Schizosaccharomyces pombe: one gene and its partners. Changing the gene in region 1 together with any one later gene gives a genetic interaction. Each region holds a gene or a part of one and is shown in the gene's direction. Other genes may lie near its edges.

Region 1 (5,114 bases):
GGAGTTTCTTCGTACTAAAAAAAACGAAGAGGTTTTAATATGTCATTTTACGTAAAAAAAATGTCTGGAATAGGGTGGTATTATTATGATTTTGTACAAAAAGGTCTTTTATTATAGGAGTTTATTTTATTTTTATTTTTTCCGATAAAAAGCATAGATTAGTTGCTAGTTAGTTTATCAATAAAACATTTCAAGGTGACACACCCATCCACAATATGATTATGGCAATGTAGCTGTGAATTTCCAAAGTCTGAGTTGTTTATTCCCATTATCGATTGGAGCATTATGCCTGTAATATGGTTTCACTTGATTCTAGGCAGATAGGCGTACAATTTTACGAACCCAAATTTTTTGATTAATAGACTTAACACGGCGAACTAAAATTTAACCGAACGCTATTTTTGTTACACCACATAATTAGAAAATTACTCGCATGAGGATAATTAAAAATACTCTGGTAAAATTAAAATTATTGTAGAAGACAGCTTGTATTTAAAGAGTAGCAATTACCATCTACAACTTATAAAGAAAACATATTCAAAGTAACAGAATCTTACAAAGGATATATATGCAAATGAAACGAAGAAAGCTCATACATGAACCCGTCTACGTTTCTAAACTTGATTACATTTGATATATTCAAAATAAAATAAAGAAGTGAAATAAGTGATTGACGTAAAAAATTATTTTCTTGCCGATGAGATTATACATTCGTTTGTTTATTGAAATTTGTTCACAACTTAGATAAATCTGTTTAGTAGTACCAGTTTTATGTACCCCCATTTAGTTACTACGATCCCACTTAAAATGTAATACAAACTGTCAGTACTAACCAGAAGAAGGACAATAGTACTAACGACTTAGACCCCCCACTTTGGTACAAAAACACCACCTGAATCAACAGCATGTAAAGTAGAAGTCATAGATTAGAAGCATGAGAACATTTCGTAGTGAAAATAAAACATTGCGTTGAGAAGCAATCTCGTTCAACTACCAAACATTTTTTTCCATTGAATAGAATAATGTTATGACCTTTAAGCCAAGCAATGCGTTTTTCAACGTTTTGGTTCTGTTATTTTCTATCCTACTTTTATCCGCACCACCAGGTGGAATTATCTGTGAAACTAGACGGCTCATAAATATCGTTATGTCACTGATTGCGAATCTATTTATCCATGCTAGTTATTCATGTTCATTCCCCACATTCTCCTCAAAAATTAATTATTTCATCGGAAATTAACTGACTTAAGTCTTGACTATTATTTACAATTTGTTTAATCCATATACTAAGTGATAAACATTTACACACAGTAATTGGGCTGCTTATTTCCTTCTGCTATGTAAAATAAAGATTGCGGTATATGCTATTGTGAAGAAAATCGATATTATTAATGTTAATCTATCTAGCTGTAGTTATAGCTGGATTGCACCAGCCATTTTGTTAATAACGTGATTTTCATAAAAAAAAAGCTGTAGATGATCGAACGGGTCAATATTTACATTCTTGAATAATTGATTTACCTCTGCTTCTTGTCCCCACTTTTTCTTACTTGCGTGCGCAATGTTAGCAGTACGTACATTTCACGATTTGGCCAATATGATTTACAGCAAGTAACTTATCAATTAACCGCTTTTGAAAATCAAAATTTTGTACTAGTTTCTTTGTTCAAGTTCTTTGATAGATGGCGTGCTATGAATGGAATAGTTTTGGGCTACGTCGTCACTTACATGATGTGCTTGACCCATTGAATTAATTGTGTGTTAGTACTTTACGCTTTCAGTACACATCGTTGGTATGGTAAATTTGTGAATCGGCCATACCAAGATGGAGATCACTTGAGGCTTAATTAATTCAAATCCGAAAATTCCGGTTGTTGTTACTAACAGTAGCTAGTTACGTTGCAGAAATTACGAGTTAGAATGGACATTGTACATTCACAATGTAAGGATACCGATTCGCGATATTGTCACTACACTATAAGATTTATCCTTATAAAGATATCGATTGCCCACCGTTTATAACCTTCCATAATTTATCTCTTTACCAGTTCCGCCTTGTTTTTTGTTACATTCTCTTTTCTTACCACACCATAATTGCTTTTGGTATACAAGCGACAACTTTATTTATTGCTTGGTACGAATCGTTCACAAATTCGATCTCTTAGTCGTATCCGTTTATCATTTTTTATAAAATAGTAGCTGACGGAACTGAATTGTTTTCTTTAAAAGAGTCTGTACCACTTACTTTTCTCCAGCTTTTGGTGTTCTTTTATAATTTCTGTCCTATCAAGGTTGCGGTAAATTAAATTGACTGCACTGTAAATGAATTCGAAAGTTTGAACAGCGTAACCAAATTTTGTTTTTCTTTTGCAATACATCGTTTGGTTTAATTGAAATTTATTTCCTTATTTTTGCTGCATATGGACATATTTTACTAAATATCTTTCTCTTCCTTTTATTTTTTTTTATTTTTTTTTTCTTTTTGGAATTAACCTTGTGTTTCTTTGTAATATTTTCATTAGTATGAATGCATTGTCTGCTTCTGAAATCCGTTAATCAAACTAAATAACTATTCACCGAACCTTTTTGGAAACATATATTTATCGCATCTAATTTCTTCCGCTTCATTTTGCATTCTTTTAATATTTATATAGCCTTTTTTCACTATATATTATTGGGTTCTTTCGTCTTGGCTTTTTACAAGTCCTTTGCAATTTACTCTTTCGATTCCTTTATATTACCCCTTCCATTATTGATATCTCTTTAGCGTCCTTGAAAACCCAGTAATTTTTCCCTTTTTTTTAATCGTCACCTCACTCTTTTTTTTTCTTCCTTTTTAAATCGTCCCTTAATTTTCCGCCGTTGTATCGCTTTCAGTTAGTTAAACACTATTCGCTTTGACCACTACCTCTTAACAAGCAATCTGAGCCTGTTTATGTCCAATTATTTTTTCTTCAGTATCATTTTTTTAATAATTCACTGAACTTTGAGCTGCAACTTCATCGACTGTGAAGAGCTTTTCTACTCTTTCCTTCTCATTATTTTCAAATACCTGTCTACCCAGTATGTTAGTTTCTTCCAATGAGGAACAACTTACTGCTCATACTCCCACTTCATCTTCAAGTATAGAACCTAAAATATTAGCTGCCTGTTCATATTCTCTATCAGTGGGCCCTTGCTCTTTAGCTGTTTCACCAAAAGGCGTTAATTCCAAATCTCCCTCTCTTAAAAATGAGACTGCATTTGTTGTCGACTCTGTTAGCACATTGTCAGCGGAATCTAGCGCCTTACTTTATAACACTCAATCCTCTTTACTCACTGGTTTATCAATGAACGGGTATTTAGGTGAGTACCAGGAAGACATTATCCATCATCTGATTACTAGAGAGAAAAATTTTTTGCTGAATGTCCATCTTTCTAATCAGCAACCGGAACTCAGATGGTCAATGCGACCTGCACTCGTTAATTTTATTGTAGAAATACATAATGGATTCGACTTGTCTATTGATACTCTTCCGCTTAGTATTTCCCTCATGGATTCATATGTCTCGAGGAGAGTGGTATACTGCAAACACATTCAGTTAGTAGCATGTGTTTGTCTTTGGATTGCCAGTAAATTTCATGAAACAGAAGACCGTGTTCCATTATTGCAAGAACTGAAGTTAGCTTGTAAAAACATCTATGCTGAGGATTTATTTATTCGTATGGAACGCCACATACTTGATACTCTTGATTGGGATATCTCAATCCCTACACCAGCTTCGTATATTCCTGTTTTAGACCCGATTTTTTTCTTAGTACTTGATGCATCAATGTTTGTACCTAATTTATTCAAATTTCCCGCTTCCAAAATCGCATGTTCAGTTATGAACATCGTAAACGAACATGTCGGATCGTTTCTTTTGACACACCCTTCTATGGAATCCTATCGCAAAGATGATAACTTTTTGTGGCCTGAAGACTTGGATACCGTAACATCATATATGGAAAACATGTCAAAGAGGTATGCTAATGAGGAATGTACTGATTTACTGTTTTCCTCACTAGGCCGTATTTCTAGTATTTTAGCAAAGAAATATCCGGAACAATGCGCAATGGCTGCCTGGTGCAACATGACTGAAAAGGATACTGAGCGTACTTTGTAACTTTAACATTGCTTCTTCTTCGATTTATATATATTGCAATGCTTCTAGACAAACATGTAATGGAGATATAATTTCAAAATTATATATTTACTTGAGAAAAGTAAGTGTATAGTGATGTAATTTTTTTTAAGAATTTTTATAAAATTCATTATATTAATCAATTAAACTACTCTGTTATGTTCTTTGTTTTCCTAAACCGGTTTGCAACTATGCTCATATGACATTATACCGTTTGTATATATTTTTGTTATTTATTTATATGATACTTACTTAGTTTGCAAAAAGAAAAGAGAAAGTTCATAAGAAACCCCATATTACAGATTGAAGCAATTTAGGTCTTTAATAGATTTAATTTCTAAATTTGATTCTTCACCCATTAAAAGTAGTATCAGTGTTTCCCAATTTTAACAATGATACTGTGATTAAACAAAATACATCTCAATTCGAATAGAGACTTCTAAATATAAGTTAAAGCACGATAGTTGTTTTCTTAAGATGCAAGCAAAATTGATTAACTTTTCTTTCAAAAGAAAAATTAACCATGCATATGATTTTTTAGAAATGAAAGAATATTTAGTGAGTTTTTTTTAATTTTCTCCACTTGTTTATACCTTGCTCAAAGGACGCACGATTAAGGCCATCAGGAACTAAACAGAATGTAACACCAAGTCTTTCAACCTCTCTGTTCCTAGACTCATCATCAAAAAACACCATTTCTCGATAGTCAATTCCAGATTCGTTGTGGATCTCTTTGAAGTGATCCATTTTACTACCTATTTCACAATAACTAGTTAGCAATATGATTATTGATATTTTCTGTATTGACAAAAATGTATTAAAAGACATACCTGGCCAAGCTTTTACATAAGTGAAAAATTCGATAGCCGGCTTAAGACTTCCATCTATTGGTACCTTCATCAAATTCAATGCTTGTTTCGCATACTTGGGAGCACAAGTACGGCTAGCAAC
Region 2 (4,053 bases), 2.0 Mb from region 1:
TTTGCTTTGCTTTCCTTTTTTTTTTACTCTACTTTCACAATTCACGTTCCCTTCCCCATTTGCATTCTCGCTGCTATCAACAATTCATCTCTGCACTTGCTCCTTTCTTCTTGGCAAGCTAGAAAAGCGTTCTTGCTTGCTGGATCCTGTGGGTGATTAACCACAATTCCAGAATTTCGATTTCAGCTTTCATATCCCCTGGTCATTAACGCGATTACTCTTACTCAGGTTGTTCGGCTGTCTACTGTGTTAAAGCAATAAAGAAAACACTACTTTTATCTGATTAGAAATCGAACCAAAATTAAAAAATTTATCTTTTATTCATTCTACACAAGTTTGGATTGTATTCTTATTTTTTTTATTTTATTTTTTTTTTAATTAAAAACTTCGAAATTCTATAAACAAACGTTGAATTGTCGAATTTGGATTTTATTTTTTCTTTAACCACCATTTTTTATTCTTACTAATATCCTCCCTTCCACCATCCTCGTTTTCTTTTACATTTGTTTTCCCTTCTTCCTCTTGGATTCTTATCATCTCCCGTGTCTAAAAGTTTCCATCTTACTCGTTTTTCTAACAAAGAAATCACTATTTCTCATCGCGACGAGCATTAGTCATATTTGAGTCGCGTTTCCTTTTCCTCTTTTTTAATTTATTATTTTTTTTTTGTTTTATTTATTTATTCTTTTTCACTTTCGTCTTTGGTTCTTGTTCGCGTCTGCTTTTCCTTTCTTTGTTCTTTCCCCTAGCCTCTTCGATTAGAGATAGATACTTCTTTCCATATCCAAACTTACTACTTCTCTGCTTTTCCCCAATGTAAATGGGAATTACCCTGAACGATTTCTTGTAAATTCCTTTGTGCTTGATGAAAATACTTTTCAAGAATTCTCTTCTCTCGGCTTTTCTTAATTACTCGATTTTTTCATTTTACATTCACAAATCCATATTGCTGTGCATACTTATTGACATTAGGTGAACTCATCTCTTTTTTCCCCAGTCCAACTCTTCCACCTAAGTCTATTGACTTACTCGCAAGCGTTGATTGTCGATTGTGTTTCCTTCTCATCCCCTCTCTTCTTTTTAAACCGAACATTCTATTCTCATTTTTACCTCAATTTGGAAAGGATATACTACTAGGTAAAAATTAATTCTACTTTTCTCCCCCATCTTTAACCGACTACTGACCTGTACATTTTCCCGATTTCTCTTACTGTTCCTTTGGAAAATCGTTGTGTGTCTTGTTTGTACGTTGATCTTTAGAGTTTCCTTTGATTATCTTGAGCATTCTTACTTTTTATTCCCTGCTTAAAATACTAATCATCATTTTTCCCGGTTTTTTATTCACATTCCCTTCTCACTTCCATTCGTTGTACTCAAAAGGACCTGTGCTTTTTAATCATAAACATTATATATTATTCGTTTTAACTCTTCCTTCCACAATTGCATTTCCCCTTTTCTTTATTAATTTTGTTTCTTGCATGTTGGTCGTTTTCTCTGTGATTGGCGTATTCGATTCTCTTTTTCATTCTTCGTTGTCGTATTTTTTACCTGCTTACAATTGAAAAAAAAATTTTTTTCTTGTAAATTCCCTTATATTATTAAACCTCAAACGATCAAGATAAAACCTATCATTGTGTTATTGACTATTTTCCTGTTTATAACGATCTTTGTTTTTTTTATCATTGATTTTAGAAGACATTAGAAAATCTAACCTTTCTCAAAGTTTTTTTTTTGTTTCGGTTGCAAAGTTCTTTAAGCTATTCAAAACTTTATCATCCGAAATACTTATTTTCTATTTTCTTATCTAATTTTCGCCATCAATTGGGACTTTATTTAATTTATCTTTACTAAACATTAGATGATGCGCGAAAATCCAGAACTCCTTTTGGGTCAGGTCTTGGGTGATTCTTTACGATTTGTTTCTATCATCGGTGCCGGTGCTTATGGTGTCGTGTACAAAGCAGAAGACATTTACGACGGTACCTTGTATGCAGTAAAGGCTTTATGTAAGGATGGCTTAAATGAAAAGCAGAAGAAGTTACAAGCTCGCGAACTTGCCTTACATGCTCGTGTTTCTTCACATCCTTATATTATTACATTGCACCGCGTGTTAGAAACGGAAGACGCCATTTATGTCGTTCTCCAGTATTGTCCGAATGGCGACCTTTTTACTTACATCACGGAGAAAAAGGTATATCAAGGGAATAGTCATTTAATTAAAACCGTTTTTTTACAGCTTATTTCTGCTGTTGAACATTGTCACTCAGTTGGCATATATCATCGAGATCTTAAACCCGAAAACATTATGGTTGGAAATGATGTAAACACCGTATACTTAGCTGATTTTGGTCTGGCTACTACAGAACCCTATTCAAGTGACTTTGGATGTGGTAGTCTGTTTTACATGTCTCCAGAATGTCAACGGGAGGTGAAAAAACTTAGTTCGCTGTCAGATATGCTACCGGTAACTCCTGAACCTATAGAATCACAATCATCCAGCTTTGCTACAGCGCCAAATGACGTCTGGGCTCTGGGAATTATATTAATTAATCTGTGTTGTAAGAGGAACCCTTGGAAGCGTGCATGTTCTCAAACTGATGGTACTTACCGTTCCTACGTTCACAATCCATCAACCCTTTTATCCATTTTACCCATCAGTAGAGAGCTCAATTCTCTACTCAATCGAATTTTTGATAGGAATCCCAAAACCCGAATCACATTACCCGAACTTTCCACGCTAGTATCAAACTGTAAGAACCTTACACGACGTTTACGACCTGCTCCCCTTGTTTCATCTCGTTATCTCGCATACCAACAACAACAACAACAGCAACAAATGAATTTGCAACAAGGAATTCAAGGTTACCCTCATCAAGGCTATATGCCGACTCAAAACATTGGCTTTCCCTGGCCTCCGACTCCCCAGTTTGTAAGTAATTGGAATCATTGTGCTACTCCAACGATCCCTGTCTCCTTACAAGTCCTTACACCAAATTCTTCACTTAAAGTAGATCCGACTACACCTCTTACAGCACCTATTCATGCAACCGAATCATTCTGGCCTTCTGCCGCAGCGGCGGCAGCAGCTGTCCATAACAATGCTAACTCATATATGCCTATTACACCCACACCCTATCCGAATAATGCAAAAATTTTCGGTTATCCTAATCAACCTCCGCTGACTCCCATACCTTTTACTGGATTCGTTTTGCATCCTGCACCAGTTGGTCGTGCTGCTGATGCCGTAGATCCATCTCGAAAATCGCTCTAAAGTTACTTGCTTCTTTTTTATATTCGCTACCGCACGTTGTTTTGTTCAGGGTTACTGCAAAACATTATAGAGGGCTTTGACTGCCCCAATAATTATTTCTCGGGATTTGAATTTTAACATTGTGTAAATAGCTAACATTTTATGCACTTGTTTTATACTTATATTTCTTCTTTTTTATATGTTTATTATGATGGTAGCATTATCTTTTTCTGTTAACAACATTGATGAATTTTTTTTGCTTGTGGTTTGTTCTTTAAAACAAAAATTTTTTTATAAATATATACTTAAAAAAAAAAAAAAGAAAAGGTAGACGAATGGATCGTTTTAACGACGGTTGTAATAGTAAATTTAAAGAGTTTAGAGCATGAAGCATGCAGTCATATTGTATCACCGCTATACTCGAAATGTTGAAGAGATAAAGCAAACTAAGCTTTTGGAATACGAAGATAGAAGGATATTATTCATAACTTGTAATAATATTGTTAAAAGTTAAAATATTAAATTAAATTTATAGATATCTTCTTGTAAATTCTAATATTACAATATTTTTACTGATATTTTTAAGCAATTATTATATCAAATATCGTTGTGTATATAGAATATTTTTTGGACAATATTTTCAAAAATAAAGATATTGTTAAGTTAAGTAAAGATATATTTTAGTAAAGGATGATAGAGAAAGAAATTAGAAAACTAGGTTTGAAGATGCAATTAAATTATAGCAATAATACAATTATAAGTTTCCTGTAAGGGGACAAATTTTACTAAACTTTGTTATTTAT
Region 3 (4,577 bases), on another chromosome or scaffold:
TATGAATAATAACGCATTCATTTTGAATAGGCTTTCAAAGCTGGAAACTAACAATGGGATTTTTTCACGCCTTAAGAGCTTTGATAAGCTGATTGTTGCAGTCTTTGCTTCACAATAATTTGCGTAGCGTTCATTAGTATGGGCAACGAGGATTCGCATTGTCGAGATTCGATTCTGGGGCTTCCCGTCAAATATGCAGCTAGAAACAATATTGATACATTTTCCATTCAACGATATTTTCTCCATCAGTTTCTCGCATGTCTTGAGGGCAACAGATCGAACAGAATCAATATCGTACCGACATATCTCCACAATTCTTAACGAGAATCTGTCAAGAAAATCAACCACAAAATCTTGATCTTTTTCAGGTTCATGAGAAGAAAGATAATCTATTATTTTTAAGGAGATTTTTCGGATTTGTGATTCCTATACGTTCAGTTAGTATTTAAATGATACAGCAGTAGCGATTGTTTATACACTTACTGCATCAGATAACCCCCAGCCAGAATGTCTAATCAAATTTCTGTTTATAAGATAGGTGGGAAGCAATTGGCAACAATCATATAGAGCAGTAACACACACTATACGAATGCTTGCACGTATATCATGAATCCTTGAGAATAGTACACTAGTAAAAAGGTTAGAGTCGTTAAGAAAAGTAGTATTGCCAACCTATCACAAATGTCGTGAATCATGTCAATGAACCTAGATGTTAAGTCTCTCAGTACCAGAATTTCCGCAGTTTGATTTGATTTTTCGGAAAGTTTGTTTACTATAAGGCATAAGCATCGCATGATATCACAGCAAATAGTTGTTGCAGTATGTCTAACAAGCATCCAAGGACTTGTCGTCATGGTAAAAATCCAAGCTTTTGTAGTTTCCATGAATGAGTCTCCGAGGAATGCGTCTTCCACGTAAACTTTACTGATGAATTCGACCAAAAAAAGCTGAAAACGAATACGCACCGTTTTAGCTTCTTTAGAGTTAGAAGTATAAAGATAATCAGTATAAGCGCAAGAAGACTAGCGATATGTATGGTAAGTAAATATTACAAAAAGATGATGCACACACCTTTTGAAAACTTGAACGATTGACCTGAGACAATGTTTCAGGAATTGAATCTACGTCCTGTACATCAAAGTTCGTAACGAAGGGTTGACAACCAGAGGCCTATGAATTAGTTTACGTTTCAAAGGAAGAGTAAACAAAACAGCAAAAGCTAGAAAACGTCGCGGATCATTCCTGCTAAACTTACAACTAATGCGAAATTTATAAAGGTCAGCATGAAGTCAGCGCTATTACTTTTATAGTCTTCAAAATAATGTTGAGAAAGTTGCTCGAGCGGCATATCTATATCCAACAGTTTGACTTTTCGTATGCTTGTTAGAATATATTATCGAAGACTTTTTTTCTCTTATAAGCAAGCAAACTTACGAAAAAATTCTTGTGGAAAGGCATAATCATGAGAATTTACGTGCATCTCTTCATTCGTCTCTATTTCATTATTTTCTTCATTCTCCGTCAAAGAAAATTCATCTTGTGTTCCCCATTTCCGCTTTTTTTCTGAGGGCGAGGCACAAATGCTGACATTCTGTAAACTTGGACCTTCATATTCAACATTTTCAAGCTCCACGCTTTCTAATTCAGTAAGGACTTCATTGAGATGACTGCTTGCATCTGATTCAAATTCGAATCTCATTGAAATCACTCAATTAATTGGTACGATGGTGGTTGGTTATGGCAAAGATTAATCTAACAGAAACGATGGGTTTGTTTACGTGACACGAGTCGCGTCAGTCAGTCATTAATTATTTTGCAGTTCACATACAACCATTGCAATCAAGTATATAATAATTTATTAAAGTTTTACTTTTGAAACATAAAGTAACTAATTTATGAATAAGAACGCGTTTTTACTCGGAATTTCGGGCTTTTCCCTGACCCCTTTTGAGAACCCACCAACTCCTTTTTCTCATTAGTAGTAGCTCGGTATTCCTTTGCAAAGTCCTACTCCAACTTTTGGTTAATACTCTTGTTCGTTGGTTTCATTTGAGATTTTTAGTTCTTGTACTGTTGTAGTACTAATCTTTCTGGTCAATCCAAAAGATTACTTTCCTCGAATCCTTCGTTCAATAGTATCTTCATATATTTGGGTGTAGAGTCATTTTTTCGAATTTTTAGAAGTCGAAAAGCATCTAAATTTTTAAGGATCTTTTCCAAAGAGAAGACTAGGGTTCCTACCTGAGTAAAAGGCAGTTTGAAAACCGACTTTCATCGCATGTCCAAAACTTTCTAAACAAGTGTGTGCTGGTTTACTAATGGACGTTTCGACTCAAACAAGACACGCAACATATTTTCAAGATGAGAATCAGCTACAAAAGGATCACATTTATGTGAAGAAGAAAAGTCACATCAAGTTAAATACGGGTGTTCGTGCACCTTTCAAGGCAGTAGATAACATCAATCAACAAGATGAACCAACATTGATTGAAGGGAATAATGAATCCTCCATCTCTTCGTCCACTGGCGACACTTTTGAAGAGGATTTTGCATACCAGGACAAAGTCGAGATAGAGGAACGGTCAATTCGCTCCACTCCTAAGTCTATTGGAGATGATGATTTGGAAAACCGTGAGGGCAGCTTTGACGCACCTGAAGGAATTCTTACACACGGGAAGCATAGACTACCAACAATTCCCGAGTGGACCAAGGAAGATTTAGCCGCCCTGTCTGAAGCTGCTGCTCGATTACAAGCTAACCCATCGCCTGAGGATATAGAAACTGATCCATCCATGGTACCAGACTATGATCCTGAGATATTTCACTACATGCAATCTTTGGAAAGGAAGCTGGCTCCACCTCCTAATTACATGTCAGTTCAGCAAGAGATTGACTGGGTTACAAGACATATGCTTGTTGATTGGATTGTGCAAGTTCAAATACATTTTCGTTTACTTCCTGAGACATTATTTTTGGCGGTAAACCTTATCGACCGGTTTCTTTCCATAAAAGTCGTATCTTTGCAAAAAGTCCAGTTGGTAGGTTTATCAGCTTTGCTGATTGCCTGTAAGTATGAAGAGATACACCCTCCAAGCATCTACAACTTTGCGCATGTTGTCCAAGGGATCTTCACCGTTGACGAAATCATTAGAGCCGAGCGCTATATGCTGATGCTTTTGGATTTTGACATTAGTTGGCCAGGGCCCATGTCGTTTTTGCGTCGTATAAGTCGAGCTGATTCTTACGATCACGACATTCGCATGCTCGCCAAATATCTTCAAGAAGTAACCTTGATGGATGAAATTTTTATAGGTGCCCATATTAGCTTCATTGCTGCTACTGCCTACTACTTGTCTATGCAGATGTTGGGTCATTTGGATTGGACTCCTTGCCATGTATATTATAGTGGGTACACGGCTCGTCAATTGAAACCGTGTGCCATAATCATTATGGAATGTTTGGTCGATGCCCCTAACCATCACAATGCCATTTACCGAAAGTACTCGGAGAATAGAATGAAGCGAGTTAGCGCCTTTGCTCACAACTGGGTACTAAGTGTGATTTGAGTTTGCTTTCAGAAGTTGTTAACAATGATATTCTGAGTTAGTTTGCTATTATTAAGCCTACGATATTTATTATTACGGATCATTGTCTTAATATTTCCTACAGCAATCACTCGAGGGCATTTTATATCTTACCTAAGGTAGTAGTTTTTCTCCACTCCGTTTGCTAAGTTTGTCGTTTAAACCACCCCTATTATCCCCCAGAGACTTGGAACTACTGTCTATTTTATAACTATCTTTCCGAATTCCCTCTTCCATCTTGTTTTCTATATCTTTTACTATACTTAAATAACGTTACGGGTATCTCTATTGTAATTATTTTTTGATACCCCTTAAACCATTTTTATTTTTTTGGATTAATACCTTTTTAATTTAATTTTGTCCTACCTTTACACAATCGTCTCATCCGACCTTTGGGCATGATCGACGGGTTAATTGGACTAATTGTTGCTACTGATCTTTATGTAGTTAGGCTTAAACTTTATAAATAACATAACTATTTTTACCTTTTCTCTTCATATTTGTTTCACGTCCTGCATTGGTTTCACAAATATTATTGGGAGATCATTGACAGTCCATCACACCTTGTATAACGATGTTTGCACAGGTCTAGTATTTTCAATCTGGTGTATGTTAGTATGCTTTCAGACATCTATTGTTTTGTAAAAATCAGCCATTTGTGGTTCATCCTTAGTAGTAAAGATGCCTATTACATACTTCAAGTCTATTTAAGAACTGAGAAAACCCACTCGATGTTTTTTAATTAAGTATTCATACGTAGTAATTTATCTCATTTATTCATTTTTTAGCAACTCTAAACTCATTGGACACCAACAAGTTATAATTTCAGCAATCTAAGACGTGTTCTATCATCGTTTAATCCACAACAAAACTAACACAATTGTTTTATTAATTATCATCATCTTTGTTTGGCATGTTGATTAATATCGAGGGAATTCAAGCATTTTGTCAGACAATTCGAAATCCTCGTCGAATAATCCCACATGCTACATT

Evidence for each region. Genes that interact genetically often act in the same process or in processes that back each other up.
Region 2: of puc1 (region 1) and pat1, extra expression of one rescues a mutant of the other (dosage rescue), as found in Schizosaccharomyces pombe (2 studies listed by BioGRID).
Region 3: of puc1 (region 1) and cig1, changing one enhances a phenotype caused by changing the other (phenotypic enhancement), as found in Schizosaccharomyces pombe (3 studies listed by BioGRID, with this or other methods).

Annotation. Positions count from the first base shown.
Region 1 is NC_003423.3:3,698,604-3,703,717, reverse strand, and holds puc1 (G1 cyclin Puc1), read left to right. Parts: upstream 1-2,028; 5' UTR 2,029-3,065; coding exon 3,066-4,145; 3' UTR 4,146-4,520; downstream 4,521-5,114. Other genes in the region: SPOM_SPBP8B7.31 (acid phosphatase), read right to left, coding at 4,681-4,745, 4,799-4,918, 4,994-5,114.
Region 2 is NC_003423.3:1,681,003-1,685,055, forward strand, and holds pat1 (serine/threonine protein kinase Ran1/Pat1), read left to right. Parts: upstream 1-1,858; coding exon 1,859-3,271; 3' UTR 3,272-3,553; downstream 3,554-4,053. UniProt on the Schizosaccharomyces pombe protein: This protein is a negative regulator of both sexual conjugation and meiosis. It phosphorylates mei2. It blocks the onset of meiosis until conjugation takes place.
Region 3 is NC_003421.2:1,225,227-1,229,803, forward strand, and holds cig1 (G1/S-specific B-type cyclin Cig1), read left to right. Parts: upstream 1-1,999; 5' UTR 2,000-2,318; coding exon 2,319-3,566; 3' UTR 3,567-4,077; downstream 4,078-4,577. Other genes in the region: meiotic cohesin complex STAG protein Rec11, read right to left, coding at 1-426, 484-628, 673-1,022, 1,072-1,170, 1,256-1,368, 1,435-1,699; cardiolipin synthase PGP phosphatase domain-containing Gep4, read left to right, coding at 4,498-4,577. UniProt on the Schizosaccharomyces pombe protein: Required for efficient passage of the G1/S transition.